Linked DNA regions of Lonchura striata. The protein of the gene in region 1 purifies or fractionates together with the protein of each later gene. This does not show direct contact. Links are inferred from orthologs where the notes say so. Each region holds a gene or a part of one and is shown on either strand. Other genes may lie near its edges.

Region 1 (7,953 bases):
AGCCAATTCAATTGGTGCTTAACTGGAAAATCAGAAATATTGCCCTTTCAGGAAAATAATTTTATATAAAGAAACAAGAAGAATTACACACAATACTTACTGCCAAGGAGTTTACCATTTCTGGGTTCCCACCCAGTCAGCCAGCAAAGCACTGGGCTCAGAATTTGCAGGTGCATGTTCTGAGGACACAGAAGCAAGACACAGCTGCCTGCAGTTTCTCACAGGTTTTACCAGGCTTTGTCAAGTAAGATGTTCAAGATAGGTAAGGTCAGTCCCGATTTTCCTGCCATGGTATGCAGGCTACCACAGTCACAGAACAAGTTTTGCTGCAGGCAACTGCATGATCACCACAACCCCAGCATTACCAGTTTAACTTTGAATTAAGGTAAGTGATTTTGATTACCGATGTATTTGCACACCAGTCTGCCTACTAGACAATACTCTACAGAAACATCCTTATCCAAGAGTTTCAGACAGCACACTCAGACTTCAATTTCTGAGACAGAAGCCTCCAGCAGCCATATTTCCTGCTCTATTCTTTCCACTTCCCTTTCCACTCCTGAAAACACTGCAAAATCAGAACACCACTAGTATTAACCTCTTGCCTTAACATCCCCAAAAACTCAGAACTCTTCAGAACATGGTATTTCAGGATGCTAATCCAGATGTAGAGTCACTACAGATGGACAGATGTTTCAGAAAAAAATAATTTCGTCTGAAGGGCAACCAGGTTTCACAGCCAAGGTTTGGTAAGCTACTTACTGACACATCACAGTCAGAGCAAAATGCTGGTGTCCAGAGTAGACATACACCATGCAAAGAGCCCATTCTATTTATAGCTTAGGCAAGAAAAACGAAGCTTGGTTTGATAAGGCTGTAACACAGAATTTGAAGAACTGATTTTTCCAATCAAGCTTTACTTTGCATTAAATCCTTGCTCCTGGAAGCTATCGTGCATGGCATTGTCCTTTCCAACATGGTGTTTGTACTTGTCTCCTAGACTTTGTGGAAATGATCAGCCATACAGACCAAACATTCCCCTGGATATCAGTTTACACCTAAATAGAAAATATCTGAACTAACAGACAAACAAATATGACATTTATTTAGAACAGCCTCAGAACAATGAGACATTCAGTATAATTTTGAACTGAACAGTTGAATTTAGAGAGCCTCAAACTCTTGCCTGAATACCTAAGCAGCCTCATTTGCAACAGTACCAGCCATTAGACAACGACACAGCAGTCACATACCTGCAGCTGTCAGCACCTTTTTATCAAAAGTGCAAGATCAACATTAGGTTCCTGGACTGTTACGTATTGAAATTCACATTATAACTTGGGCCAATACACACCACTAAGTTTTGCCGCTTAGACTTTTTTCTTGGAGCCTCGCAGCAGTATCTTTTTCTCATTTAGAATCAAAATCATAACTAGGAAGTTGCTGACTGGTGTGTCCGAACTTAGATCAAGAAAACCCTGACACTCTTGCAACTAATTTTCTCGTCTTTGCTTTACTGTAGTCTCAGTACATAAAGATCCTGTTTTACTAAAACCCCTCCTTGATTTCCGTCCGTCGACCTCAGCATACCAGCCCAGCCTCTTTCCATTCACCACTTGCATACTTTGGGGGATGGGAGGACCACAGATGTCTGGAATATACAGAGTGTCAGAACAATGGCTGCTCCATGAGAAAGAGATCAAGAAGTAGCTGATTACAAAGATCAACACTGCTATTCCTAAAGTCACAAGTAAGTTGCTCGTGGTACCTTCACACAGTCTGTCCTTTCTTTCCAGTTAGGATAATTTTCAGAGGTTTTTGGAAAGAGACACAAAAAGAAACGACCCAACATCCTACATCGAGTTTTAACTAGGGAAAAATGTAAGGTTTTGCTACATTTAAGAAAACTTGCTGCTCTAGGAGCAGCTAATCATGCACAAAAGAGACGAACTAAGCTTTGTTAAAAAAAAAAAAAGAACAAACACCAAAAAACAAACTAAACCAACAACAAACCACAACACCCCAGGAGACCCTGTTCCTAGAGAAAGAAGCGCCCTAGACAATTCTGGGAGTAACCGCGAGTTGATCTCCACAGCTCGGGAGCGCGGTACTTCGGGAAGCTGGAGCCGCCGTGGTCCCCCAGCCGGCCACGGGAAGCAGCGGGCGCTTCCCCTCGCAGCGTGGGAGCCCCAACACCGCCCGCAGCCCAGGTCGTTCCCTGCAATACCCTGGTAAGGTGGGTGTTAAAAAACTTAATTTGATTGCTCCCAGCTCCGGGAAAGCTTCATTTCGGTGACACCCAGAAGCAGCAGCACAGCCTCTCCGGCAAATATGCAACGCCACTAAAAGCGAAACCCCACAAGGCAACAGATTAGTTATCTCCCGCTGACTGCAGTGACCGTGATTAATTATATTCCGTACAAATAAACCCGTACCCTGCTCTCTTCCCCCTCCTATCGCCAAAGGGGATCTGATACCCAACAGCGAGTTAGTAGTCCCCTAAAAAGGGAGGGGGAAGAACCTCTAAAATAATAATAAAAAAGGGCCATTAAAGTACTCCGGACGCTGCTGCAGCCGAGAGCAGAGGCGGGCGCATGGGCTCGCCTTCTCCCGCCCGGAGCAGCCACCCCCTCGCCCCAGGACGAGCTTCCCAAGAGACTCCTCGGGAGCCGCAGCTGCCGCTCCTGCAGCCACGCAGCTGTCCGGACCTCCCAAAAACAAGAGCCCTCTCTCTCTTCCTTTCCTGCCCCCCCACCTCTCTCCCACCCCCGCTCCCCCCTCCCCCAGCCCCGTCCTTCCCGCTGGGCACTCCCTGGACCCCCTGACGGCCACGGGGGTGCCCGGCCCGGGTTTGCCCGAGTTCCCGCCGGAGAAAGCGGCACTAACGTCGGAGGAAGGGAGAGCTCAGGGTCCCTCCAGGCTCCGGCGGCGGCGGCGGCTGCTGCTGCTGCCCGGGCGATCCTGGTCCGGTCCGTCTTTCCTTCCTCGTCCCCCGCCTCCTCCTCGCTCACGGCGGTGCCCCCGCCGCTGGCTCCGGGTGGCGACCGTACGGGGCGGCGGTGTTCGTGTCCCCCGAGCGCCGCCGCCGCTGCTCCCAGCGCCGAACCGAGCGAGAGGCTTAAAATGGCGTCGCGCACAAGGAGGTTCTTATAGCGAGCGGCGGGCCCGGCTGTGTATCCTGCCGCCGCGGCCGGGCCCCGCGCGCGGCATTCCATAGGCGCCCGGCGCTCAGGGCAGGCAGAGGGAGGAGGAGAAATAGTGCCCGGCTCCCAGGGCGGAGGGAGACAGGGAGCGGGGAAGCGGCGGAATGGGGGAAGGCCGGGCCAGGCGGCGCTGGGCAGGGCTGGGCAGGGCTGGCCGGGGCAGGGGGAGCGCGGCGGAGACACCTTATTCCGGAGGTGGGAAAGAAGGATCCTAGTTCCCGGCTTGGGAACGAAGTTGCTGCTGCCCTGAGGGGTGTGGAGGCGGCGGGGGAGGGGATACGACTGCGGGGATCAACCCGGGGTCCTGCTTTGGGAAGGGGAGCGGTGGGGGTGGGGGGCAAAAGGCGCGTGTCACTCCCTCTCTCCTACTCCTTTCCAAACCCCCCGTTTAATCTGGAGTTTCGTTGCCTGGGGTTTTAATTTTTTTTTTTCTTTTTTTCTTTTTTTTTTTTTTTTTTTTTTTTTAAGTGCACGGCACCAACTGTAGCGAAACTCCGTCTTCCCAGACGCCCGCGCCGCCACGTCCGGGGGATCTCGGGCTGCCGCGGGAAGTCGGCCCCGGCTGGGACGGGGCGGCCGCCGAGCCCGGCCCGCGGCTCGGCCCGGCAAGGCGGCGGAAACGCGCTCCCGCTCTGCCCTTGTAAATATTTGTCAGGAAGCAGTTGCCAAAGAAAGTATCTCGTTATGCAATTTTTTTTTTTTTTTTTTAAGGGAGAAGCGAACTTCCCTTCTTCACCCCCCTCCACACACACACACCTCCTCCTCCCAGCCCTCCCCTCGCTCCTTTAGCGATTCGTAAAAAACAGGAAAATACGAATTGCACAAGGTTTTTTCGCGGCGTGTGAAGGCACGTCCGCGGCGGCCTCTTCTCGGCGTGATCGGGCTTGCACAGCAGAATGTTTTACAGACTTTTTGCGTGCATCGTCTTGCAGTGGCAAAGTCTGTGTTTAACATACCAGGAGGGAAAAATACATTCACACCTCTCTCCACATGAAACAAGGACCGAATATACAACGTGGTTATGGGAAACATCCATTGCCAGAGCCAAAGATGTATATTATTTTGTTCCCCCCGCAGAATAAATTTGCTTTGGCACGGGCTGATGTGGGAGATTGAATTCTTTTTTTCCTTCTTCCAGTCTCGTCCCCCACCAGCCCCCAGTTTGTGCAGTTTTTGCAGCAGGGAGATGCGCGGTTCACATGGGGACTACCTTTATGCTTGTTTTTTCCCACTGATAATCCAGTTTTAAACAGGCTCTTAAGTTTCTAGTTAGAAAGTTGCAATTAAAGATTTGGTTTTTTTCCCCCATTGATTTATTCAGTCAGATGTAGAGTTACTCTAAGGGAACCTCTTTCACAGTGCTGCTTGATTTTCACATAAGCTGCTTTCTTTTGAATTTGGAGCTTTTTAAAACAGGGTATTTATCCTGGGCTGGAGGTTTGTTGGCAGGATAATGTAAGGCTTGCTGCATACAAGAGACAAGGTGGAACTGGCATGGGTGACAAGGGGGCCACATCCAGTGAGGCAAGTGCCGGAGAAGTGTTCCAAGGGTGGGTTAGCTGTTACTACTCCTATGGCATTGGAAAGGCAGTGGTGATAAAAAAAATCCTATTTTCCTCCCATTACCCCTGCCACTGCAAGGCATAGCAATCATTCACCCACCAGCCTCCCTCTGCTATGGGCAACCTTTAGTGCCCACTAGTAAGGAAAAGAAATGCTACTTGGACAACCCTGAAGTTGGAGAATTGAGAAATGCAGCTTTCCTGTTTTCTCCTGGGACAGTTGCCCGTTCTGACAATACTGGTCAAAAGAGGGGCAAGAATGAGGGTGACTGTTGGCAAGAGCTGGCAAAGAAAATTCTGCCAGATCAGGCCAGTGGACCGTGAGTGTTCATCATCTTCCTGGGGAGTTATTTGGTGCAGCTATGAGCAGAAGGACCTTGTTCTTGACACCAGAATTTTTATCCCAATTTAAGATAAGAGCCAGAGAAAGTATTATTGAAGATTGTCAAGCAATAAAAAAAGAGAAAAGGGTGTGGAGGGAAGAGTTAATTTCTTTATCCACCTTCCTTTCTCAGCTGCCTTCTTCTACAACCTTCAGAAAATCTGCTCTGCCTCGGTTTCACCCTCTGTAAAACGGGAATAGTAATACTGACAAACCCCTCCTTTTAGATCCCTGGATCAAAGGTACTATATAAGTTCAAAGTGCTGTTTCTATAGGGCATTATTGCCAAATTCGCTATAAGCAATTCCATTGGGTACTTGATAACAACAGTAGAATCAGTCAAATGCCCTTGATGTATTGCATGGTCCCAGATACCTTTCAGAGGCTCTTTGTGTGCCATCCCACCCCCCGAGGTCTGCAGGGATGGGGCTTTTGGAGCCTGGATTTTGCAGGAGCAGGAAGGGTGCAGTCCATGTCTCTGCTTCTGGCCCCTGAACTGTGGACCGCTTTTCTTTTTGACCTGACGAGGACAACTGGAACTAGACCTTTTAAAAACAGGTTTAAAACATACAACTTATATATATATATTTAAATAATATATTGGCCTTTAGTACCTAATGATTAACTCTTGTTGATTTTTGGATGCTTTACTTCTGCATGGGTTGTAATTTTAATCTCTATTTGTTTCGCTGCAAAGTGGTTAGGATACTTTTGCATCTAGTCACATTGCTTATAGAAATTTGGTTCATATCAGCTTTGCAACTTTTAGCTATTAGGTAGCTAAACATTTTCTAAAATTGTACCTTTAAAAAATTCCCAAACCCCTACTTCAGAGAAACAATCTTAATAGCCGAATTGAAATTACAATTAACTTGTCGCTGTTCTCTCAATTATAAAAATGTTTCTAAAATACATTTTATATTCCTAATTTTTCTAAAATGCAGTGTGTAAAGTTCCACTATCAAAACAAGAACAGTAAATGTTATATGGAATATTACAGTACAGGGCTCCATCAGTAAATTCACAAACGGTCCAGTTATTCTTCCTCTTCTACTTTTTTTTCCTTTCTTCCCCAAGAAGCACTGAGTGTGTCTGTGCAGCTTCAGAAGTTTCCTCTGAGCTCTTTTATACTTTAATAGGTTTGTTTTGGTGGCAGTTTACTAGAAGAGTATGCTGCAGACATATTTTTTTTTAAGAGGTCAAGCAGTCTCCTAACATGTCCATTGTGTATCCTTGCAGTAAGAAATCCTCAGTGCAAAGGAGAGCTTCATGGTTGAATTTTAAAAGATAATGATTTAAATCTTTTTGTTAACTTTTTTTTCATCCTTAGCACTGCTTTTGTAGACTCCACTTTTAGTACAGTAAAAAGTAGGAAGCCCCTTAATTAAAATAAGAAACAGTTAAATGTAAACTTAGATGGTCACCTTTCCTTCTAAAATCCTGGTGTTTAACTTTGTTTATAAGGAACATAGTAACAAATGAGTAGCCATGGTACTAATATGAGGACAAAGCAAAATTACCAATTACAGAAATATCTAGGGCTCTGGGCCTGAATCTGTGATTTCCCATATGGATCTTAAAAATGTATGCATAATTGGCTTCTAACTGTGCATGCTCTAGGAACATATTCAAGAATCAACTACAGATATTTTTTTTCAGACACTGACTAAATATATATTCACTTGTCAGCAAAAAGATACATAATTCTGATCCTCTTAACCAGAAAGAAAAAAATAAAAGGAGTCTTCTTCCAGCAAAGTAAGGTTGTAGTGTATTAAAAAAGTCACATAGTCTCACTTTCATACAGGAGCGAAGGGGAAAAGAGAGGGAGATGCTTGTGATATTTAAGCACTCTTAGAGACACAGGACTAATCAATGTAACTTCTGCTTCATATTTGAGACCTACATTTTATTAATACACGTCAAGGTCTTTGCTAAAGTAAATAGCTATGCCATTCAGGCTCAGTTTCAGTGGGAAAAAGTTGTTGTTTATCAACAAAGAAAAATAGAATTATTGAAAATAGAAAAAATGGTGAGATTTTACTTTTCTCAAAAATTATTAAAAAAAAAAAAAGTGCATGTGTAGGTGATTTTGAAGGAAAGAAAGACCCTACAAATTAGTAATAAATTAGTACAGAAGATAGTGATCAAAAATCTTGTTACCTCATTCAAATGACATAAATTGAAGTTTTCTATAAATGTTGCTGCAGGCATCAGAAATAGAATTGTCATTGGTCACTAATTTGATTTTTAAACAAAAGTTGTTCTTTCCCTTCCTGTTCATTTTGACTAAATGCAACATGCCTTAAAACTTTCTTATTTAATTCAGTATACATGAATTCCTACAACAATTTATTTATTAGGTATGTGTCAGAAACTAAGATTAAGTCTCCAGCTGATTTAGTAGCTGAGGCATTACTCATCAGAATATGTGATTACTGGCAAATTAAGCAATGGAACATTAAATATGAAGCATTGCATTTCTCAGTGCGTATATTTTAATTACTACTAGCCAAACAAATATCAAGATGGCTTTATATTCAAAATTTAATGCATGATCATGTGAGCAAAAAATCCACAATACTGATCAAAACATTGTCATCACCGCATCTGTGGCAGCGCCTAAGTTTTCCTTTAAAATTTTTGTTTGTCTGTCTCTTCATAGTTATGGGTCTCACACTCCTTATTTAAAACAATTGCAATGGTTGTGTTGAGGTGCCCTGACAGAAAAGACATCCAAAATCACAGGAAAAAACAATACCAGTTGCAGAGGTGTGACACCGACCTCCTTCTTCCCTAATCAAAC
Region 2 (7,521 bases), on another chromosome or scaffold:
GGGGACAGGAACGTGCTGAGCATGGCAGGGGAGGGACCCTCGGGCTCCAGAGGCTCCAGGGACCTGCGGGGAGAAGCCGGAGCCCCTTCCCAGCTGTCCCTGAGCAGGTTTGGGCAGGGGCGGGTCCCTGTGGGGGCCGAGGGTGCCGATGCTTTACCTGTAGGGCAGGGCTGCAGCGGGGGCGTTGCTGGTCCTCTCCAGAGCCGCCTGCTGCTTCTTCAGGATGACCTCGGCCAACTTCTGCTTCACCACCGTGCTGGCCACGGCACCTGCAGGGTGACCATGGTGAGCGACCACGGGGACCCCAGGGGGCTCAGAGCCCTTCTGAAGGGTCCCCGCGGGCAGGATCCCGACCCCGGGAGTGCCACCAGGATGGTTGGAGACCCCCGAGAGGCGCAGCTGGCTCTGCTCCCATCCCGACCCCTTCTGTCTGCGCCAGCAGGAAGCTCCACGGATCTGTGCCAGCATTCGGCACCTCCGAGCACGAGTTCATTAACTAAGTTATAATTAATTAGGTGCGATGCGGAGCCCTGAGCATCCCGAAATTGGGAGCGAGCCCCTGGCAGCTCCTCCAGCGCCGGCACCAGAGGGCGCCGAGAGACCGCGGCTGGGAGGGGGCCGCACCCCAGCCCGGGGGGCTGCAAACCCAGTTTGGGGGGCTGAAATCCCAGTCTGGGGGGCTGAAAACCCAGCCCGGGGGTCCCAGAGGGGTCTGTTACCTGAACGGGGTCCATAACCCGCCCGGGGGGCTGCAAACCCAGTCTGGGGGTCTAAAAACGCAGCCCGGGGGTCCCACTAGGGTCTGGCGGATGAGTGGGGGTTGCAACCCCAGTCTGAGGGGCACCAAACCCAGCCCAGGGGTCTGAAAACCCAGCCCAGGGGTCCCACTGGGGTCTGTCACCTGAATGGGGTCCATAACCCAGCCTGGGGGTCCCAGCAGGGTCCATAACCCAGCCCGGGGGTCCCAGAGGGGTCTGTCACCTGAATGGGGTCCATAACCCAGCCCGGGGGTCCCAGGGGGTCCATAACCCAGCCCGGGGATCCCAGAGGGGTCTGTCACCTGAATGGGGTCCATAACCCAGCCCGGGGGTCCCAGGGGGTCCATAACCCAGCCCGGGGGTCCCAGCGGGGTCCGTACCCCAGCCCGGGGACCCAGCGGGGTCTGCAGCCCCGCTCTGCGGATGCTCTCCCACCCGTTTCAACCCCGGGAAGGCAGAGGCGGGTCTGGGTAAGGGCAGAGCCCCCCGAGCCCCCTCCCCAAAGCCCCTCTGGTGCCCGCCGGGCGCAGGCAGCCCTTACTGCGCTTGCTCTTGTCCTTGTTGAGGATCTGCCGCAGCTCCTGCTCCTGCTGGCCCGGCTCAGCCTCGCGGTGCGGGGACTCCATGGCCACCTGTGGGACAGGGACACCGGGACATGGGCAGGGACCCCAGCCCCACCTGAGCCCTCTGACCCCCAGGCAGGGGGACACGGGGCACAGAGCTCGCCTGGGACAGTCCCCGGTGTCACCCCGGCTGATGGGAACCCGTGAAATTGCTCCATCACAACAAACCGGACGCGTTTCGGTCTCCAGGGATGCTTTGCTCTCCCCGGGGACATCATAAAAGTCAAAACCTGTCTGTTCCTACTCGCTGCCTCCTCTCAGGGTGTTTGGACACGTCTGGGTGTTGCAACGCGGCAAAAAATAAAAATCTTTGTTGAGTACAAAAGGAAAAAAAGATCCATGATCGGAAATCCCAGCTGATCCACGGAACTGGCTCCTGCCCCGAGCCCAGAGCAGCCCTGGGGACAGGCAGGGGGATCTCGGTGCCTGAAGATGGTCACACATCCCTGGACATGGTCACAACTGCCTGGATGTGGTCACAACTCCCTGGACACGATGACAACTCTCTGAGCATGGTCACACCTCCCTGGGCATGGTCACACCTCCCTGGACAGGGTCACACCTGCCTGGACGTGGTCACACCTCCCTGGACACAATCACAGCTCCCTGGACATGATCACACATCCCTGGACAGGATCACACCTCCCAGGATGTGATCACACCTCCCTGGACGTGGTCACAACTCCCTGGACACAATTGCAACTCCCTGGATGTGGTCACACCTCACTGGGCATGGTCACATCCCCCTGGACACGATGACAACTCTCTGGACATGGTCACATTTCCCTGAACATGGTCACAGCTCCCTGGACGTGGTCACAGCTCCCTGGACGTGTCCTCCCACCTGCCTCCCTCTGAAGCCTCCCGGAGGAGCCATCCCCGGGACTGGAGGAGCCATCCCCACCAAATCCCGCTGGTTTCTTGTGCCAATGGAACCTGGCAGTGCCCCTGCGTGGGGCAGGAGCTGCGGGTGGCACCAGAGCTCGGTGACACTTCCCAAAAAACCACTTGCCGAGCAGGGGCAGCTCCCGGCCCGCAGGGATCCCCTGCAGCTGCTCTGGCTCCTGCTCTGCCCGTGCTGGACACGCCGGGAGGCTCCAGCTCTGGAATTTGGCCTGGAATTGAGACACAACCCCTCCACCTGCCTCCCCGAGCAGCCTCCTTGCGTCACAGAGGTCCCTGGGCTGGCTGGAAACCCCTCCAGATGTTCCAGCTCAGGGAAGATCAGGAATTCACCTGGGAATGTCATTTTGGCATTGGGATTTCCAGCCTTTTCCTCTGAATCCCTGCCCAGAGAGGGGAACTCAAAGCCAGCCCCGATTCTGCCAGCGCTGTTGCGCTCTGGGGGCAAAATTCACCTTCCAAAGTGCCCGATCCTGCCCCAAACCCTGCCAAAAATGGGGTGTGGGCCCCCCCATGCCCTGCCCCATACCCTGACGTGCTGGTGGGTGAGCTGCTCCACTTGCTGCTGGTGCAGGCTGGCCAGGAAGAGCTGGTGCTGCAGCTGCTGCTGCTTCAGGGCCAGCAGCGCCGAGTCCTGGGGCTTGACCACGCGCTGCCCGATCCGCAGGTCCATGGGCACGGCCTGGGGCACCCGCGGGGAGGTGCACGGGCTCACGGCAGCTGCGGGGACACAAAGGGACACAGCTCGGACGCGGCAGCTGGGGCAGGAGATTCCTGGAAATGCCACTGCTCTGCAGAGGCTCCTGGGGGCTGCAGGCGCCTCTGCCCGGCGCCGCGGTGGAGAAGGGCTCTGAAGATGCTCCCTGCACAACCTCCCTGAGGGGTGAAACCCCAGCGCCGTGGGGACACCAAACCAGTGCCAGTTACACACCAGAAATTATACATAACACACCCAAAACATGCCAGTTACACACCAGAAATTATACATAACCCACCCAAAACATGCCAGTTACACACCAGAAATTATATATAACACACCCAAACCAGTGCCAGTTACACACCTGAAATTGTCCATTACACATCTGAAATTATCAATTACACATCCAAAACAGTGCCAGTTACACTGAAATTGTCCATTACACATCTGAAATTATCAATTACACACCCAAACCAGTGCCAGTTACACACCAGAAATTATACATAACACACCCAAACCAGTGCCAGTTACACACCAGAAATTGTCCATTACACATCTGAAATTATCAATTACACATCCAAAACAGTGCCAGTTACAGACCAGAAATTATACATAGCACACCCAAACCAGTGCCAGTTACACACCAGAAATTATACATAACACACCCAAAACATGCCGGTTACACACCAGAAATTATACATAACACACCCAAACCAGTGCCAGTTACACACCTGAAATTATACATAGCACACCCAAACCAGTGCCAGTTACACACCTGAAATTGTCCATTACACATCTGAAATTATCAATTACACATCCAAACCAGTGCCAGTTACACACCAGAAATTATACAAAAACCCCTATCCAAAACATGCCGGTTACACACCTGAAATGATACATTACACACTTGAAATTATCAATTACACGCCCAAACCAGCCCCAGTTACACACCTGAAATCGTCCCTTACACCCCCAAAACCGCTCCATTTTTTCACTGATCATGGAGCACCCACTGCCGCAGAGGATTTCCCCCTCACAGAAACACCCTCGACCTCAGGCCATGAAAAACCCCACCAGGAAACCTCACCCCACTCTCCATCTCCTGATAACGGCCTGGCACTTCATTAGTGGCCAGTTAATTGGCTCTAATTGCACCCCGGGACAGGGAGGCTGATGGAGATCAGCAACCCTAGCCTTGGGAAGGTGCCCCTGCCTCGGGGCTCCCCAAAACCGGGCTGAGCATCCGCGATTTTGGAGGATGCAGTGACAAGTGGGGTTGTCCCCTCCTTCTTGTCTTCTCCTTCTTTTCCCCTCGTTTTTGTCCCCTCCTGCCTGTCCCCTGCTGTCCCCTCCTGGCTGTCCCCTCCTGTCCCGTCCTGCCATCTTTCCCTCCATCTTTCTTGTCCCGTCCTTCTTGTCTTCTCCTTCTTTTCCCCTCGTTTTTGTCCCCTCCTGCCTGTCCCCTGCTGTCCCCTGCTGTCCCCTGCTGACCCCTCCTGCCATCTTTCCCTCCATCTTTCTTGTCCCCTCCTTCTTTTCCCCTCGTTTTTGTCCCCCCCTGCCTGTCCCCTCCAGCCTGACCCCTCCTGGTTGTTCTCTCCTGTCTGCTCCGGCCTGTCCACTGATGTCCCCTGGTGTCCCCTGGTGTCCCCTCCTGTCCCCTCCTGTCCCCCCCGTCCCCTGGTGTCCCCTCCTGTCCCCTCCTGTCCCTCCTGTCCCCCGGTGTCCCCTCCTGTCCCCTCCTGTCCCCCCCTGTCCCCTGGTGTTCCCTCCTGTCCCCTGGTGTCCCCCGGTGTCCCCTCCTGTCCCCTCCTGTCCCTCCTGTCCCCCGGTGTCCCCTCCTGTCCCCTGCTGTCCCCTCCTGTCCCCTCCTGTCCCCCGGTGTCCCCTCCTGTCCCCTGGTGTCCCCTGGTGTCCCCTCCTGTCCCCTCCTGTCCCCTGGTGTCCCCTGGTGTCCCCTCCTGTCCCCTCCTGTCCCCTCCTGTCCCCTGGTGTCCCCTCCTGTCCCTCCTGTCCCCCGCTGTCCCCCGCTGTCCCCCGCTGTCCCCTCGCCGCTCAGGACGCGGGAGCAGGGCTGGCAGCGGCGGTGGCACACGGGCTGCTGGCAGGGGGACAAGGACAGGCTGGCACTGCCACATCCCGGGATGGCAGCCGGGCCCCGGGACGCCGCCGGTGTGCGGGAACTCGGCCGTGCCCGTCCATGTCACCGCACGAGGGGTGTGCGACAGCCGGGACGCTGCCGGGGGCTGTGTTCGGGATCATCACTCCAGTGGGAACGGGGTACCGGGGGAAGGAGCAGCCCAGCCAGGCACGGCTGGTGGCACCCCAAGAGTTGTCCCAGCCTTTCTCTGCTCCCTAAAAATGCCCACGGGAAGATCCGGGGTTTGGCGTGAGCTGCCCATGGTGGCCCAGCACAGCCTCATGATGCCCCTTCCCGGGAAAAATGGGGTGGGAAGGGATTGGGGGGAAATGGGGTGGGAAGAGATTGGGGGGAAAATGGGGTGGGAAGGGATTGGGGAGGAAAAATGGGGTGGGAAGAGATTGGGGGGAAAATGGGGTGGGAAGAGATTGGGGGGGGAAATGGGGTGGGAAGAGATTGGGGGGAAATGGGGTGGGAAGGGACTGGGGAGGAAAAATGGGGTGGAAGGGATTGGGGGGAAAATGGGGTGGGAAGGGACTGGGAGGAAAAATGGGGTGGGAAGGGATTGGGGAGGAAAAATGCAGTGGAAGGGATTGGAGGAAAAATGGGGTGGGAAGGGATTGGGGGGAAAATGGGGTGGGAAGGGATTGGGGGAAAAAAAGGGATGGGAAGGTTTGGGGAGGAAAACTGGGGTGGGAAGGGATTGGAGGGAAAAAAAAGAGTGGAAAGGGGTGGTGGGGGAAAGGAGTGGGAAGCGATTGGGGCACCCCAGGTGAAGGAGGGGCTGCTCCAGACACCTCCAGGAGGGAGCAGAGCCGAGGGGAAGCTCTGGTGGGGGCTCTGGGAATCTCTCTCTGCATCATTTGTTTCAATCCCTGTAAAAACAAACTGCGAGGCGGCGGAAGCGGAGCAGGGAGGGATGGGGGCTGCTGGGGGAGAGGGAGGCCGGGCAGCAGCCAGAAAAACAAAACAACTCCTCACCACTCGCCTGGAGCCAGGAAAATGCTGTCGAGCATCCCCAGGGCCAAGAGGCTCTGGAGCCAGGGAAGAAGAGGCTGCGTGGAGCCCGCTCCTGCCGCGGCCCCCAGCTCTGCCCACCCCGCGCTGGGGATGCCCGAGTGGATTTTCAGAGGCTGGGATGAGAAGAGGCGCCCTGGGAGCAGGACCTGGCCTGGCGTGCCCCGGGGTGACACTGGCGTCCCAGCCCCGGTGCTCGCGGCCAGGATGAGGCCACCAAACTCGGGGCGGTTTTGCAGAGCTGGGAAACAAAACGTCCCGTGCTGGGTGCCAGGGCGGCGCGGGACCAGGGCTGGTGGCACTGGGAGACAAACCCGGGCTCTGGCCAAGAGCCACTGTCCCCATGCGGGGACCCTCGGGGGTGAGGGCCCTGCACATGGCACCTCCTCAGGGATGCTCCCCAGCCCTGAGCTCCGGACCCCCCGGCAAAGCCCCTCCTGCCCCGGGAGCTGCTTGTGACCTCCCTGTGCAGCTTGAATTCATTTGGGGTTTGCTGCCGGGCCCTGGGCCAGGAGTTACAGTAAACAACCCCCTCCCGCATGATCCAGGGGCCGGCGGCCAAGCCCGCGCCTCCTCCCCTTCCCCCCGCCCCAAAAAAGCCAAAAGTGAAGTGCCAGCGCGGCTCCTGGGGGTTTGTCCCTGTCCCCAACCCAGCCTGGCTCCTGCTGCTGCCCAGTGGACCCTCAGGAGCTGGGACTGGGAGGCACAATTTGGGACTGGGATGCAGAGTTTGGGACTGGGAGGCACAATTTGGGACTGGGATGCAGAGTTTGGGATCAGGATCACAGTTTGAGACCAGGATCACAGTCTGGGACTGGGATGCACGGACTGGGACCGGGATCACAGTCTGGGACTGGGACCACAGTCTGGGACTGGGATCACAGTTTGGGACTGGAATCATAGTTTAGGACCAGGATCACAGTTTGGGACTGGAATCACAGTTTAGGACCGGGATCACAGTCTGGGACTGGAATCACAGTTTAGGACCAGGATCACAGTTTGGGACCGGGATCACAGTTTAGGACCAGGATCACAGTCTGGGACCGGGATCACAGTTTAGGACCAGGATCACAGTTTGGGACCGGAATCACAGATTAGGACCGGGATCACAGTTTGGGACCGGAATCACAGATTAGGACCGGGATCACAGTTTGGGACCGGGATCGCAGTTTAGGACCAGGATCACAGTTTGGGACTGGAATCACAGATTAGGACCGGGATCACAGTCTGGGACCGCAGTTTGGGACTGGGACAGCCGCGGGGCCAGGAGCCCATCGCACAAACCATCCCTGTGCCGGCAGCTGCAGACCCAGCCCGTGGATCCTCCGTGGGAAGGGCAGGTTGTGACTCGGAGCCTCCCCGCGGGCCCTGGGAAAGCCGCGG
Region 3 (7,983 bases), on another chromosome or scaffold:
GCCATGACTCAGGCCATTAGCCTGAAATGTGTGTGTGTGTCAACAAAGAATTATAACTGCTTTAGCTGGATTGCAACCGATTATTGTCCCAAAATAAAAGACACTTTAAATTTCACAGTACCTTACCTTCTTATAAAATACAGCTTGGCAAAGCCTTTTTAGCCAATAATGACTTCAAATACACAAATAACGGTTATCTGTCCTTTTTAAGCAAAACTCATTACAACCACTGCTGCTGTACAATGTAGTAATTCGGTACTGCAATTGTGCAGGCTGAAGAGATATAGTGTCACCTTCCAGTGAACCTGGCACTGATTTAATAAAACACAGTAGGTTTAGGGTTCCTATAGCAAGGGGTGTAGATATTAATCTGGAGGGTTATTCACATTTCACTTACAAGCAAAGATAATATGAGCAATAAAAGAATTAAGGTATAAAGCAATTTAGGGTTTTGCCATTCTTATTAAAGGTTACCCAAGCGCCAAGTTTATCTTTAACTACAAACTATACTAATGGCAGAGCTAAGTTCCAAAAAAATTCAGCTGCATCCAGCCAGGAGGTAGCATTTGGAAAGAACTGATTTTTCAGTTTTAATTCTGAGCCAAAAGACAAAGAAACCTGAGATCAGACCGACCAGAAAAAAACACTTTTCCTTCCACAGATATGAATGGAAAGAGAACTCTGGAAATGTCAAAGCAAATTATCTGCCCATATTTTACATATTTAACATTTAGATACTTTCAAGAAACACCAAGGAAACAAACTCTGAGACCCCTAAATCTTTCTGTCCGATACTAACAAGTAGCTTTGAACGCCACTAATGTCTGTCATCCCTGCACTTGCAGCGAGCTCCAGGTCCCCAGGGGAGGCCTCTGAACACACGGCACAGCAGCTCCTGAGCCCTTTCCTTGTGTTCACCCCTCCTTCAAAAAGCATTTAAATTCAACAAGATACTGTCCCCCAGTTTCACTGGGATTGCGTCAAACCGCATCATTACACACGCTGGAAAAGACAGATCCTTTTCTGCCACCTGTAATTCACTGGTTTTCTAAATCTCTGGCCAATATTTCAATGAATCTGCTTTTTATTCACACTAGGAAAAATAATAAATCTTTATGATGGTGCTGGGTACCAACCCTTATCTTTGATATTTTCACAAGTCTCCCAAACTATGGGCACTTCTTGAAATCCATCATAACAGTCGCAAACAGATGGTATTGACTGTGCTGTGCATTTTTTTCTGGTCAGACATACATCAGTTACAAGGGGACAGGTAAACGGGATGGGAACTGTACTTCATGCTCCTGCTGAGCCCTAAAGAAACCACGAGGTGAATCGGGTTGTTTTTCTGCAGATACACTTACGCTTTAAACCTTGATAAATTCCTTGATAAAGGGCCTCAGCACCTGCTTTACTCAAAATGGAGAAATTAAGCCTTTTTGCTGCTTGCTCTCCATTCTCACAGCACAATCTCCTCTGCTACATGCTATCTGCAATCATCAGATCTTTTTCTAAATTTTAGCAGATAAATATGTCGTTGTAATTAAATTAAAAGTAATAAATTCCTGTTACTATAGGACCACCGTGCTCCAGAATCCCACCACAGATTGGAGCACTCTCAAACTTGGAAAGTATTACAAATCCAACCCCATTTTTGCAGGTCAGAAAAAATGTGAATCCATGTGTCATGACTTTCCCTATTCTGGGTTGTTCTGTGGCTTTTGCTTGTTTGTTTGTTTCTTACCCTTAGCATACTGTCTAACATCAGCATTTTTATTCTTTGCTTGAGCCCTGAGTTCAAAAGCCAGTTAAGGCAATAATAGCTTTTAGCCTTGAGTCAGGCCATAACGAGTCATCAACTGAAAGTCAATTGCAAAAACTATTGTCTCTGAAAATTTCAATTATATTTTAAGCTATAAATAGCTCACTTAAGGGTTCACTTGCTGATTCCAGCAATATTTTTTAAGTAAAATTCTAATGCTTCCTGAAACCTCCTTTTGTTTCTAAAAAGATGGAAACAGTTTTGCAAGCCAATGCAGCAAAAACCACAAGATCTTAAATCATTTTGATAATCTGACTGCATATTTTTAGCTTACCAGGCTCTCTTTATTGTTATATACCATACTGGCTAAATCAATATTTAAATTGGACTCTTTAGTTATTTCTTTTTAATTAAGGCAAGGATAAGAGGCGATAGGAAGAAAATACAGTCAGTAAAGATCATCCTGGGATTTTCTCTGGCATTTCCACTTACTAACTGAACTTCTGTCCTTCCGCATCATATTCATTAAGATGACAAATCTGATGTTTGCCTCAGGAAAAATATTAAAATCAACATTCCACCTTCCTTTTTTTTTTTTTTAACTGTATTTGTCTACTCCAGTATAACATCCCCCTAACTACAGCAGGGGCCCTAACTGCGAGATGTTTTGGTAAAAGGCTGTATAACCTCACACTCAGTTAGATTAACCTTTACAGAAGGCAATCTCAGCCCTGTACACCAGCAGCTCTTACAACACTTAGGATGTTAAGCATGTGTTACAAGATATAGCTGTGTCCCAGAACAGCCAGAAAACCAACCATCTGCACACTCCTACCAAATGCTCCCCACCTCAAGATAATACAAAACTATTGAGTCTTTTGGTGTAATAAGAAAAAGACACTGGAAAACCAGCCGAAGCCTATATCCATCTGCAATGCAACGTGAACGTAGCACCTGCAGCTTTTTTTTTAGAATCTGTAAGTACACTGTATACAGACATTAACTAATAAGTGTCAGAAAGCAGAGCCAAAGACATTCTGCATAAATTAGAAAACCTTTACTTTAGAATCCATCTCCTGCCAGATTGTTAGAAAGCCAACAGCGTCACTCACCTATGCTAGAAAACATATGGTCCATATGCAGCACTAAAGCAAGTGCCTATGAAATTTCCTTGGGTTAGGAACTTCAGTGCAACTGCCCTGGCTCGCTATGGGGCTCCTGAGGCATCTGCAAGGGACAGCCTGACAAGCTCCCAGTGTATTTCAGGATGACTGACAGCACACAGCGGCGGCTGGAGGGCTGGCAGGGGGATGGGCATCCTTAAAGCTGTATTGGAGAGCATAAGCACGGCAAAAAAGTTTAGAGCTGAGAAGGTTTTGAACAATTAGAGGACACGAAGCATTAAATTACTTATACTTCCTGTGATAATTCTTGTAATTTCCAGCACAGCAACTGTTTTGCCATACATTCTGACTGTATGCCAACTTCAGTCTGGAGGCAGTGACTCACTCTCAGACTCCTGAGCTGGACAGCAAAGGGATTCATAAAGCTCTTGCACAGAACTTGGCACCAAAATTGTTTTCTCTGTTGTTTTTTTACTATTGTATGGTACCCTGCAATGACACACAATATATTATCCTAGCAGTTTCAGAAAATGCAAAGGCCTATTGCCTTCTAAAAAATGAAGAAATGTTTAAACAAAGTAGTCAGGATCTGTATTTTTTACCAAGATACATATGGACAGGGCACCTGAGGATTTCCAAGATACGAAACATTTCTGAGAATACATAACAGATTTTTTTTACTATTTGTTCTTAATTTCAGTATTTCCTCTACAGCTTCATTAATTGTTACCAACAGCACTCTGATAATATAACTTGTTAGCCTTTTTGCTACAGTCAGTACAGAGAGTGCAAATCAGACTTCATAAAGCCACAAAAAACAATTACCACATTTTGCTTTAATGCTAGCTGACACATGAAATAAGACATTCAGGATGCTAAAAGCTTGTAGTTCAGGCAAAGAAAAGTGCACACTGTTTTACTGCAGAGTACTTGTACTCTGTAGGCCAGACCATGCTCTGGAATGGAGCAGTATTCCAAAGGACCTGGCCCATTTAACACCAGGTAAAGTCTATAAAGCACCTGGTAAATTACTTAAATTTCCAAACAAAGCTGTCAGGCTGCTCTATAACCATCTCAGAATTCATCATTTCTTACCACTAGCAACAAGACACGTGTCTATTAATGCACAGACACCACAAGTAGAGCAGGAGACGGTGGCAAGATTCAGACCCATTAATAACATTAATTCACATAAAGCTACTTTATTTAAACAGGCTTTGCATTTAGGTGTAGGCTAGCAATGAAGTAACTGGAAGATTTTTTTTAATCGCAGCCCCAAAAATTAAAACCAAAAAAACATAGCACTTTTTTTTCGTATTTCCTTTCAATTCTGCCTGTGTTTACCATCTCCCAAGAGCACTTTTTCAATCCACATCTGATGAGCAGTTAAAATTCACAAGAATATAAGACTTCCACCAAGTTCTTCAACACAGTTCTCAACATAAATAATGTGATATATCATACCTTACAATCAATCTACCAAGAAAACAGTGTAAGCCTAGTTCTTTATGGGTGTTGGAGAATCCCCATGGCAAGCAATGGTTCATGACTGACCTAGTAGTGACATTAAAAGGTTTAATTAAGGTTTATGAAAAAAAAAACCAAAAACTTTTGAGGTGGGATAAAGCATTGCACCTCAACAAACTTGTCTCGTGAAAACTTTCTTATAGCTAGTGAGATAAAAATTTCAGATTTTTTCCCAGATTTATAACACTCAGAACGAGCTCTCTTTTCCTTGTTTAGTACTCATGTTTTCTTTTCCTACAGTGCTTTCTATTTCAAGCACTGTTTCAAGCAGAGGTTGTGTTCCAGTATCACAGAAGGAAACAGAATCACAGAGGAAAAATTATTTACTCAAGATGAGAGAGAATGCCAGTGGCAGAGTACTGGAATAAAACCATAACAACACTGAAGTACCTTACCCACACTTTCTTTAATCAAGGCCAAAAAGCAGGCTGAGGAGAGTAAAACACTTTCAGAAACAATTCACACCATAACTCTATAGAACATCATCTCTATTCTTACTCCTATGTTCAGGTTACCCTGATATTAGTATTGCTCATCCTAGTAAGGCCAGAAACCATCTGCCTTAAACATCCTATCAGAACCCCTCCACTGGTGAATGCACACACTTCAGCCAGCTGCAACACCAACTAATTCCAGGAGATGTTCCAGCAGAAGTGTGAATCCTACAGCCTGAGCAGTTCCACAGCCTTTGGCTTTGTACTGGCACTCAGGACTGCTTCTCAAACAACAGCTATCCAAAAAATGTGCTACTGCCTTAAACCTACAGCCACTGCAAGAAACATCTTCCCAGTGAAGTATAACATGGAAACTTGGGAACCTGACAGTATCTCACTACCAGAAAAATAAAATAATTTCACTCAACAGTGGAGTTCTACTGGATATGCACAACTGTGAGTGACAGCAGAATTAAAATAATACTGCTTAGGCTAGATATACTTTAATGTTTGTAACATTTCTTCCATGTACATTTTGGCAGGTACCGCAGTTTTTCATCTGAAAACTAGAGTTCTAATATTTAAGAAACTGAAAAAGCACTTACTTTAAAAAAAAAAAAAATAACACACAAAAAAGTGGTGTGACATCAGATGGCAGCATTTCATTTTTTAAAATAATCATTACTATTTTTTGGATCTATTTTAAATTCTTAAATGAAACCCCAAAATCCTTCCACATGAGTCTCAGTGCTATTTTCACTGCGTGCAGTTTGAGCCCAGAACAAGGACTGCTCTCCATTTAAGTGGCACACAGTTCTTACATGGATGGCTATCTGAGCCCCTAACGATAGGTTAAGGAGGTCTGGCTCCAAGCCTTCTCTTTTGTTATCACATTTAACGTGCTCCTATCTGTGTTCAGAACCAGAGACCCCGTTCAAATAAAGTTCAAGTTGACCTTCCACTAAAAATAGGATGTTGTTCAACTCATTAAAATAATAGACAATAATAGAAATTCCATGAGGTGCTACTAAAAGGTTTCAAATTTTATTTACTTTAAATACAGCTCCCCATTTCCCCTTATTGCTATTTGCTGACAGTTATCTATTACAGCATTACACTCTGCTGTTTCGTTTTAAATATGTGTCTCAACTCTCAACTGCAAAGAGGTAAAAAACCAGGGTTTCTTCTCTTTGTAGAGCTGCTTCTGATTTTGCCAACAGATTTGGCTGTTTCCTACCCATGGCCTACCCCAGGATGCTTCACCATCACATACCATTTCATTGAGGGTCTGCATTAATTGTTTTGTCCAGTGATCTAAATAGTGTTTTAGCATTCTAGAAGTTTTCTTCTTCCCCACTGCTTACAGACACGCTCAAAACAACCCCAAAATTAAGAGTAGCAATGGTGACGGTGACTGACACTTATATATATAAAACATATTGACTCTGAGATATGCATGAAAATAAGAGAGAAATGACTCTTAGAAAGTGCCTCACTTTGAATGCTGGCAAGCAGCTTCCTTAGCACATACAACAGCACAATCTAATGAAAAGGGACAGAAAATAGTACTTAAGTAAAGCCACAATCCCTCCACACCATGCCTGCAAACATGGACAGACCTCAATATGCAGATTTACTCTTCCAGTGGGGTTCCCATTGCTGCACAGCACCCTATTTCCTTTATCAATTCTTCCAACTGGTTTCAAATCACACCAGGGCTCAGCAGAAAACCCCTACAAAGCTGTTAAAGCACTTCTGGTGAAACAGCTTCAGAAATAAAGCCTAAGGACGTTCCAGCCCATTCTGACCTCTGCCCACAGTTCAACTCAAAACCATCTGGCTGAAGAGCAGCCATAAAGAGAAAAAAAAAAACCAAACTTTGTTCCAAGGTGAATTAATTTCCCAACACTGATCAAAGTAGGAGAAAACAGTAAGAATTCATTATGGTTTCCTCCTAAATGCCTGTCACATAGCCTAATTCTTTGTTGTTGGGTATCTCTGGGGCTTCACTAGGTCTGAACCTAACAGAAAGGTGCACACATAAGGGTCTTGAAATATGCACAATGTTACACTGAATGTAACAGCCCTCCTGTAGCCCTCTCTTATAATATTTTTTGTAATATTTTGGAATTTTTTTAAAATTACATTAAATTGTGCAGTAACTTATTATTTTCACACTGAGGTGCGATAAACATACATTTACACAAACCTTCCTTCAATTAAGTGCAACTTCCAGCAAAGTATCAGGAGGTAAACTAAATTTTTTAAACTAATAGCATCCATACAACATCTTATTCTTCCTTTTCCAATATTCCAAAGTGGCTTCTCATATCTGGAAAATATGCAAACACACTGCAGAACTTCAGCTACTAGCCTGAAGTGATAAGACCATGACAATTAAAATATTTAGAATATTCAGGATTTTTTTTAATATTCAGATTTTTTTAATCATGTTTAAAAGTTCTTTTTTTTTTTTTTTTTTTTTGGAAAGCTGGCTAAGAAAGCCAGCGTTTTAACTTTTTTAAACTTTTGGAGTGATTGTTTTATCAAGCAGCAACAGTTCCATTTATAGCTTCATGTACTTCCACCACTAAGAGGAAAATTGCCTACATTCTTCTCCAATCTTACCTTTTGAATCAAGACTCCAAGGAAAGGAGCTCCTAGGAATGGCTCTGTGAAGAACTCCACCTGAGGCAGCTGGACTCCAGGGGCAGCGAGGCTGCGAATGTGCCAGTCAGACCCAGCTGTAAGAAACAAAATGTGAGGGCAGCACTCCACTGGGACTCCTCCCAAAGCAGTAGCGCCGAGCTCAGTGGCAGCTTGCTACTGAAAATACCCCTTAGAGCCACCCAAGCTCATGCCTAGCCTTGCAAGCCAGGTTTGACACAGGAACCCAAATCGGACACCAGGGAAGGCAATGGCAAAGCCATTCAGGCTGAACACGAGAAGGGAAAGGGGAAGAAGGAAAGCAAAAGCCACTGCTGTAAATCCACACTCAAATATAGATGCAATGCACATCTCCCTCATTCACCTTCACAAAACATTCAAAACACACTTCCAGATTGATAATCCCTCATTTGTAAGATTTTCCACCAAAGCGGCCATTTAAAAAATGGATATGAGTTAAGTTTTGCTA
Region 4 (7,157 bases), on another chromosome or scaffold:
ATAAAAACTATGAAAAAATAAAAAAGAAGGAAAATAACAAATTTTCTCCTTTCTAACCTGTGAAGCACAAAACCAGCATCCATCTTCAAAAATCTGAGGACTCTAATTAAAGCTTCATAAAGAGATTCCTAGACAATCTTTCCAGTTCTGACCGAGAAGCTGAATGCTCAACTCTTTATAATCCCCCTTGCCTAGAGGATGAACTGCTCTACAGGTAACTTTAAAATCCTGGAAAGGAGAATGGTCCCAGAAGTGTTCTTCTGAATATTTTTTGTTTCAAGTTACTTAAATATTTTTTAATACCCAGACAAATCTTTATAAATCTGTTTAAGATATTTCAAACAAGCAAACAGAAAACTCAAATCTATTTTAAATAAGTGCATAAGTACTAAATGTACACAGTGCCAAATATTACATACCATTTTCTCTTCATATGTAGGATCTGTTTCCTGGATTTCTTTTTGCTTTGCCAGAGACGTATCATCAAAAGGCTCCTGAGATGAAAAAGAATTAAGAAGAAATATTTCTGAAAAAGAGAAGATACCCATCTAAAGGAGAACAAGCTCGTTTCACATTGTATCAAAGCAGCAAAAGTTGGTCGTAGCACCTGATGTGGATAGACAGTAGTCAGTTCTCTATTATTACCTATACAATTACCTGGAGATGAATCGGAGATCCCTGCCACAGGGTGAGGGACAGAGCTGAGTCTCTGTAATCTGATTTAGCTCCATCATTAAAGCATCACATCAATGTGAATGAGGGAGACAGCTGTGGTCCAGGAGATCAGCATGCCAGTTCTAGGGTTGTGAGCCAACCCCCCTGAAGCTGGCTCTGAGACGGACTGTGAAAGCACCAGCTCTAGGCCTGAAGCAATTTCAAGGTTTTTGCCAGATTACCCCAATCCCTCATCACTGTGTATTAAAAAAACAAATCTAAACAAGAATCCACACTGCACTTTTGTCCTGAAAGCTGAGGAGGAGTTTAGGAAACTGTATTTTTTTTTTCCTACATAGTTTACTAAATTAAATAATGTTTATCACCCATGGTACTACTAACAACAGAAGGACCAGCTGGCTAGGAGAGGGCAGTCTTCCCTCATGCCCTTCCTGCCAAATTCTTAACATACTGCCTTAAATTACTCTTCTGGATCAGGGCTTTTTCATCCTTGTCTTTTCTGTCATTAGGTTAACTCTTTGCATATTGTCTCCCCATATGCATTTTCATCTCCTGTTAAAACTAAAAGCAGTGAGATGATCCTTCCCTGATAAACAATGCTAAGGTAACACATAACAAAATAACTGTTGAAAGATTGAGAAAATGAAACAAATGAGATGCCGTCAAGTGTTTTTACTGTTTATTTGAGTTTAGTAAGTATGGGGCTAAATTAAATCTTTATCGGCCAATACAGAACAAAGGAACAGGAGAAGAAACAAATGAAACAAAGGCTGGCAAGAAACAGGATATTCGTCAGTGGGTATTTCCTCACAAGCCTCTAGCAGGTGAGGCATGTGGAAACAGAAAAATCCTAACACAAATGTTTAATTCACTAGACAGAATATAAAGAATTGAGTGTAAGAAGTCATGGCTAAAGCTCTTCTGAAATCATAACTAAATCCTCTTACTCATCCCTCACTGGACTGAGCCAACACCCAAGTAAGCACAAGCAGAGGACCGTTGGAACTTCTGTTCGCAATTCCCCTTTCTGCCACAATGCCTAACCTGGAAAGCACAGCAGCAGAGCGGCACGGCCATCCGAGCTCATCATCTGCTGCACAGATGACAGAACCCTGCAGCTGAGCTGGAGACCAGGGAAAACAGTCCTTCAGATGCTCACGGCTCCAAGGCATTCCAACTCAAACTTCACTGTACGCCAGGAAATCCCTTCCCAAGGTAAAAAAAGGAAAGGAATTGGCAGCACAGAGAGCCCTCGCACACGGGCGCCACAAGAGCACGCGTTTCTCAGCCTGCACACGCTAAACTCCAGCCTGGAAGTGCCCTATTTCTGCAGGTTCGAGCAAGATTAATTTCCCACAGTGCTTTGGCTACTTGTTCATCCGAAAAACATGGCATTTGCAATGTAATTTAGCACAAGTAGGTTGAACAGCCCAGCGTGACTCAGAGTACAAAATACCCAGCGCTGAAAGCAGGACCGACCAGTTTCCTGCTATCATTAAAGAAACAATGCCGCGATAGAATTAGCATCTCCAGGCAATCACTTCCAACCCCCTGAAATTTCTGGAATATATGCACCTATTGCCAAAACAACCCCTCTCACAACCCTCGCACCTCTTTTCTCAAAAGAAAAAAAAAGGAAAAAAAAAATAGAAAAAAGTTTTGAAGCACTTCAGCAGACAAACATCGCTCATGCGTTTTAGACACCGGGCTGGCTGGCGGCTGGAGCAGGAAGCGCAAAGGCTGGGCAGGGTTTCGGGGAAGCAGGAGCAGACAGAAAGCCTGGGGGTGCGCGGGGGGCTCCCGCCGCCCCGTTTGGAAAACAAGTGGCGTGCCTCGGCCGCAGTGCCTTCTTCCGCGCGTCCCAGCGGCAGGACGAGCGCGACCCCTCCGCGGCGGGGAGGGGGCGAGAAGGACGGGACACCGCAGACATCGCACGGCGCCGGGCCACGCTCACGGCGGGAGGGCGGCGGGACCGAGCGCGGCCCGGCCTTGCCCGGTGCGGCCCCGCGGCCGCTCCTCCATTGTCTCCCGCGGCCCCACGCGGCCCGGGTGTCCCACCTGCCGCCGGGGGAGCGGGGGGACCCCGCCGGCCGAACCGACTCACCTCCATCTTCGCGTCGCCCCCGGCCAGGCCGGCGGCGCAGGGCGGCCCCGTCCCCGCGGCCTCGCCGGTGTTGGCACCCGGCGGCAGCGGCGGCGCGGGCGGCTCGTCCGGCCGCGGCGGCTGCCCGGCGGACATGATCCGCGTCGTGAGGAAACGGCGCCTCGCCGAGGCTCGGGCTGGCGTCCGGCGGGCTGCGTGCTGCGGACAGGCGCGGGCGGCAGCCGGGATCTGCCGGCGGCGGCGGCCTGCGGGTGTCGGAGCGCGGCCGGCGGAGGGAGCGAGGCCCGGCCCGGCCCGTCCCGGCGGGAGCCGCCAAGCCGCGCGCGAGTCGCCCCGCGAGCCCGCGCTCGCGAGACTTCCCCCGCGAGCAGCGCGCGCCGCCGCCGGTGGGGGCGCTGCGGCGCGCGCCGGCCCCGCCGAGCTCGGCGGCGCTCGGTGCGACCGCGGCGTCCCCGCCTCCCTGCGATGCACAGCCGTACGGGAAACCTGAGTTCAAATCGCGGCTGGCATCGCGTTTCACGCCCTGTGTACGATCACAGCGTATTCCGAGTTGGAAGGGACCCGCGAGGATCGCCGAGTCCGCCTCCTGGCCCTGCACAGGCCATGCCCGAGGGTCACACTGTGCCCCAGCGTGGTCCGGATGCTTCTTGAGCTCGTGCTGTGACCACTTTCCTGGGGAGCCTGTTCCAGCGCAGGCCCAGCCTCTGGGGGTAGGATTTTTTTCCTGACATCCAACCTAAACTTCCCCAACAAAACTTCAGGGCGTTCCCTGGGGGATCCTCTCGCTGTCACCACAGAGAAGAGCTCAGTGCTTATCCCTCCTCTTCCCTTCAATCTCCAACTGCAATGGGGTCTCCCCTCAGTCTGCTACAGGCTGAACTGACCTCAATTGCTCCACACGTGGCTTCGCCTCAAGGCCCTTCACCATCTTCACAGCCCTCCAGGAAAGGCTCAGGAATCACCTGAGGAGGTGAAGCCATGCTCTGGCTGGAGCCCAGCAGCAGCCCCGCACCCCGTGCGGGAGCGGCAGGGAGCGTGGTTAAAGCAGGTGACAGCAGTGTGCTATACCGTAAGTTACTCAAGAGGCAGCTTCAGGTTGCTCTATGGGCTCCTCATCTCTCCATGAGCTCTGGGTAGAGGGACTTGAACATTCACAGAAAGGGTGTCACACAGAGCCACCCTCCAAAGTCCCCTGCTCTCGCTTGCTCAGGTTGAGCCAGGCCAAGTTTGTAGGCACAGAAGTACACTTTTGTAACCTAAATACAACCACAGTGTCTGCTCCCAGCTTGAAGCATCGTGGGCTGCAGCCCCCTGCTTTAGGATGTAATTGAGCAGATCTACACCTGCAATGCCTCACAGATAACCTGCCAGGTGCCACCTACCAGAGCATGCATCCCAGAACCCTGGAGTGCACGGAATAGGATGAAACTGAACAGGAAAAGCTGCTTAAGAGCACTACTATTGCACTCAAGGTGCTAACAGAGGCTGTCCAAAGGGCCAGACCTGAGCTAGTTAGAAGCAAAACTCCCCTGACTGGTTCACAATGTGGACAGTCATGTTCTCCACATTATCCAAATTGCTCTATACATCTGCAGATTTGTCACACCAGTAGGTATTCCGGCAATATTCACAAGAGTTGTCAGTGTAGATGCAGCCACTGAGTGCACTCCATAGGTTTGTGGAGCTGCATCTTCCATCTTCTGAGAAACCATTGTAGCCTGGAATGTAGCAGCAAAACAGACCATCTTCATGATGATTATTACAACCTTCATTCCATTGTCTTTTATTACAGGCATCCTTTAATATTTTTTGAAGTTAAAATTATTAGCTTTGACATTTCCAAAAGACGGTGTCACTTTTTTTCTGCTAGAACTGCTCAGAAGAATAAATTCCCAGAAAATATCAATTTTCCTAGAATAGGATTTCTCAGCTAATCACAAATTTACTGACATATTTTTCCAACTCCTCGTTGTCCTCTCTTATCACAGATGAAAACTCTGTCCCTGAGCTTCGCTAAATGCTTTTCATTCAGGTACACAGTTTGAACTTTAAAAATACATGTGGCAGCAAATTACAAATTAAAATAACTGTGTTATTTTAGCCAGCTCTATTCTTCCAGCGTAGTTTTGTGTCTACTTGCTGTGCCTCAGCTCCTGCCCCTCTCCCAGAGCTGCTCCAGATAATGCAGTGCTCTCTGTGTAGTGAGGAGTGTAAGTCATGGTGGGAAGGGAGCTACATTCCCCCTTTCCCATTTTTCATCTTTTGCCTCCCCTGCAAAGCACACAAACAAAACCACACATGGAGAATCACTGGTGAAGGAAAATGGGGTAGAAGGCCCTTGGGAAGAAGTCAGGTGTTTGGGAAGAGTGGCGAGGATATTTCAACACCTTTGACACCATCTTTTAGACTAAAACTGATAGGTAGGATCTGGTTTGATGGGGAAGGTAGAAAAGCACAACTCCATCCAAATCTCATTGATCCTTGGCCATCTAGCAAAATAAAACAGCACCATGCCAGGGTGTGGGGGTGTTGAGATATTTGTGTTATTGGTATCAGAAAAGGTGAATGTTCAGCTCTACTTCAACAGGCAAAATAATTGAAAAAAAAAAAAAGAATCTTGCCAAAAGTTAAAAGACAAAAGGCTCTAATTTTTTTTTTTTTGAATTTTCTGAAGTCCTGAAAGTAGCACAGAAGACTATGCAAAAAACCTCCAGAAAACCAAAACTGAAACAAAACCCCACCCAACAACAACAACCAAACCACCCCCCTCCAAAGAAACACCCCAACGAAAGCAGGAAAGAGGACTTTCCAAGTTAACATGAAAAAGTTCACAAACACACAAAACCATAACAGTCCATACAGAGTCCAGATGTGAAGACCTTAAATTGAAAGCAACCAATGGCATAAAGAAATTCATAACAGAAGTTACTGAACCTACTGAACACCTACATAATGGTCAAATGCACAGTAAAGGAAGATATCCCCTCTCAGCCATTACCCAACAGTAGAGACAACTAATTACTAACATGCTTATGAAGTTAGTAAACAACAGTTTAATAACAGATTTTTGTCAAATCTCTCAGGTGACACATCTTTCAATTTTGTTGCTTAGTTGTGCAATCTAATTTTAATTAATGTTCTTTAGATGGCTCCTTGTTAAACAAGAAATTGAAACACCACAAGTAAAAGTAACTCTGATACTATTAGCTGTGCAGCAAGTATGCTAATAGGCATTGCTGAACATGTATCAAAACTGTAAAACTTCCCAAAATTTGGGAAACGGAAGGAGTGAAACAGAGTTGTTTGTAGTTGCTCCATGATATGCTCATTTGGGTTCAAGAAGGTAAGAGAGGGGTAAGAACTTGGTTTGTGTTCAGATCTTAGGTGGGGGATTGTAATTTTTTTTTAGTTTACAGAGCCAAAGCAAGATACTACCCACGTGAGATGAGATACTGCCAGTTCTACTTCCTCACAAGGCTGATGTTGAGCTGGACTATCCCATCAAGAGTAAATACAATTAGACTTATTTCAAAGCCATCACTTCTGTCACTGTCACTTTTCTTCTAGCCTCAGATTAACAGTGCTGCAGGCAAGAGGTGGTGTACACACACACACACGATCAACAGTCAAAGAAGTCATCAAAATAATGCTATATCTATTTCAAAAAACCCAAAAACCACCCCCAAAATAAAACAAAAACCCCAAAACACTCTGCCTATCAGCAAAGGTCACTGTCATCAGCTTTATCGTAACTGTCAACACATTGATTTACAGTATTAAAAAAATCCATCCCCACAAAAAAAAAAAACCTCAACATATGCAAACAATACCATATATTAATTTCAGTAGATTTCTTAATGCAATGGAAACTTTTTAGAGTTTAACATATGTAGGTGTATACATTTCATCCTTGTGCTTTTTAAATTTTGAGTGCCATGAAGATGACATTGAGATTGTTCAAATTTTAGTGTAGCCATCCTGGTAAAATTAAACTTTCACAGAAAAGAAACAGCCCAGACTTCATCTGACGTGCTTAAGCAAACTGTAAGCCTGTCGTGTGTCTACCTTCAAAAAGTAGACTGCAAATATAGTGACATGTGAAGACCAAAAGTTTTTAAAATTGTGTCCAACCACAAATGAGAGAATATTTGGTAACAGCAACATGGCATGCAGATAGCATATCAGACTCTGCTTGTGCCTAGTTTAAAACAATCCCTTTGATCAGTAAATTTTACCCATGCAAAAAAAGATGACCCCATATGGAGTCAAATGCTGATACTCATTACAGAAATCCTCGAAGAATGGAGATTCTGTAACAAGCAGCACCCTCACAGAAAAAAACCCCAGAACTAATAAAATGCTTTTAGATTTTATTTCT

The links.
Region 2: the proteins of CTNNB1 (region 1) and HDAC7 purify together in Homo sapiens (affinity purification with western blotting; 5 studies listed by BioGRID, with this or other methods). This does not show direct contact. The link is inferred for Lonchura striata from reciprocal best matches to the Homo sapiens genes CTNNB1 and HDAC7.
Region 3: the proteins of CTNNB1 (region 1) and CTNNA3 purify together in Homo sapiens (affinity purification with mass spectrometry; 4 studies listed by BioGRID and IntAct, counting the BioPlex papers as one, with this or other methods). This does not show direct contact. The link is inferred for Lonchura striata from reciprocal best matches to the Homo sapiens genes CTNNB1 and CTNNA3.
Region 4: the proteins of CTNNB1 (region 1) and SMARCA5 purify together in Homo sapiens (affinity purification with mass spectrometry, with the first as the bait; 3 studies listed by BioGRID). This does not show direct contact. The link is inferred for Lonchura striata from reciprocal best matches to the Homo sapiens genes CTNNB1 and SMARCA5.

Annotation. Positions count from the first base shown.
Region 1 is NC_134603.1:112,026,326-112,034,278, reverse strand, and holds the start of CTNNB1 (catenin beta-1), read right to left. Parts: upstream 3,006-7,953; 5' UTR 2,887-3,005; intron 1-2,886. UniProt on the Homo sapiens protein: Key downstream component of the canonical Wnt signaling pathway.
Region 2 is NC_134629.1:8,687,212-8,694,732, forward strand, and holds the start of HDAC7 (histone deacetylase 7), read right to left. Parts: upstream 3,005-7,521; 5' UTR 2,958-3,004; coding exon 2,814-2,957; intron 1,391-2,813; coding exon 1,300-1,390; intron 270-1,299; coding exon 158-269; intron 64-157; coding exon 1-63. UniProt on the Homo sapiens protein: Responsible for the deacetylation of lysine residues on the N-terminal part of the core histones (H2A, H2B, H3 and H4).
Region 3 is NC_134609.1:35,368,606-35,376,588, reverse strand, and holds the start of CTNNA3 (catenin alpha-3), read right to left. Parts: upstream 3,013-7,983; 5' UTR 2,900-3,012; coding exon 2,875-2,899; intron 1-2,874. UniProt on the Homo sapiens protein: May be involved in formation of stretch-resistant cell-cell adhesion complexes.
Region 4 is NC_134606.1:64,813,220-64,820,376, forward strand, and holds the start of SMARCA5 (SWI/SNF-related matrix-associated actin-dependent regulator of chromatin subfamily A member 5), read right to left. Parts: upstream 3,014-7,157; 5' UTR 2,915-3,013; coding exon 2,780-2,914; intron 495-2,779; coding exon 420-494; intron 1-419. UniProt on the Homo sapiens protein: ATPase that possesses intrinsic ATP-dependent nucleosome-remodeling activity.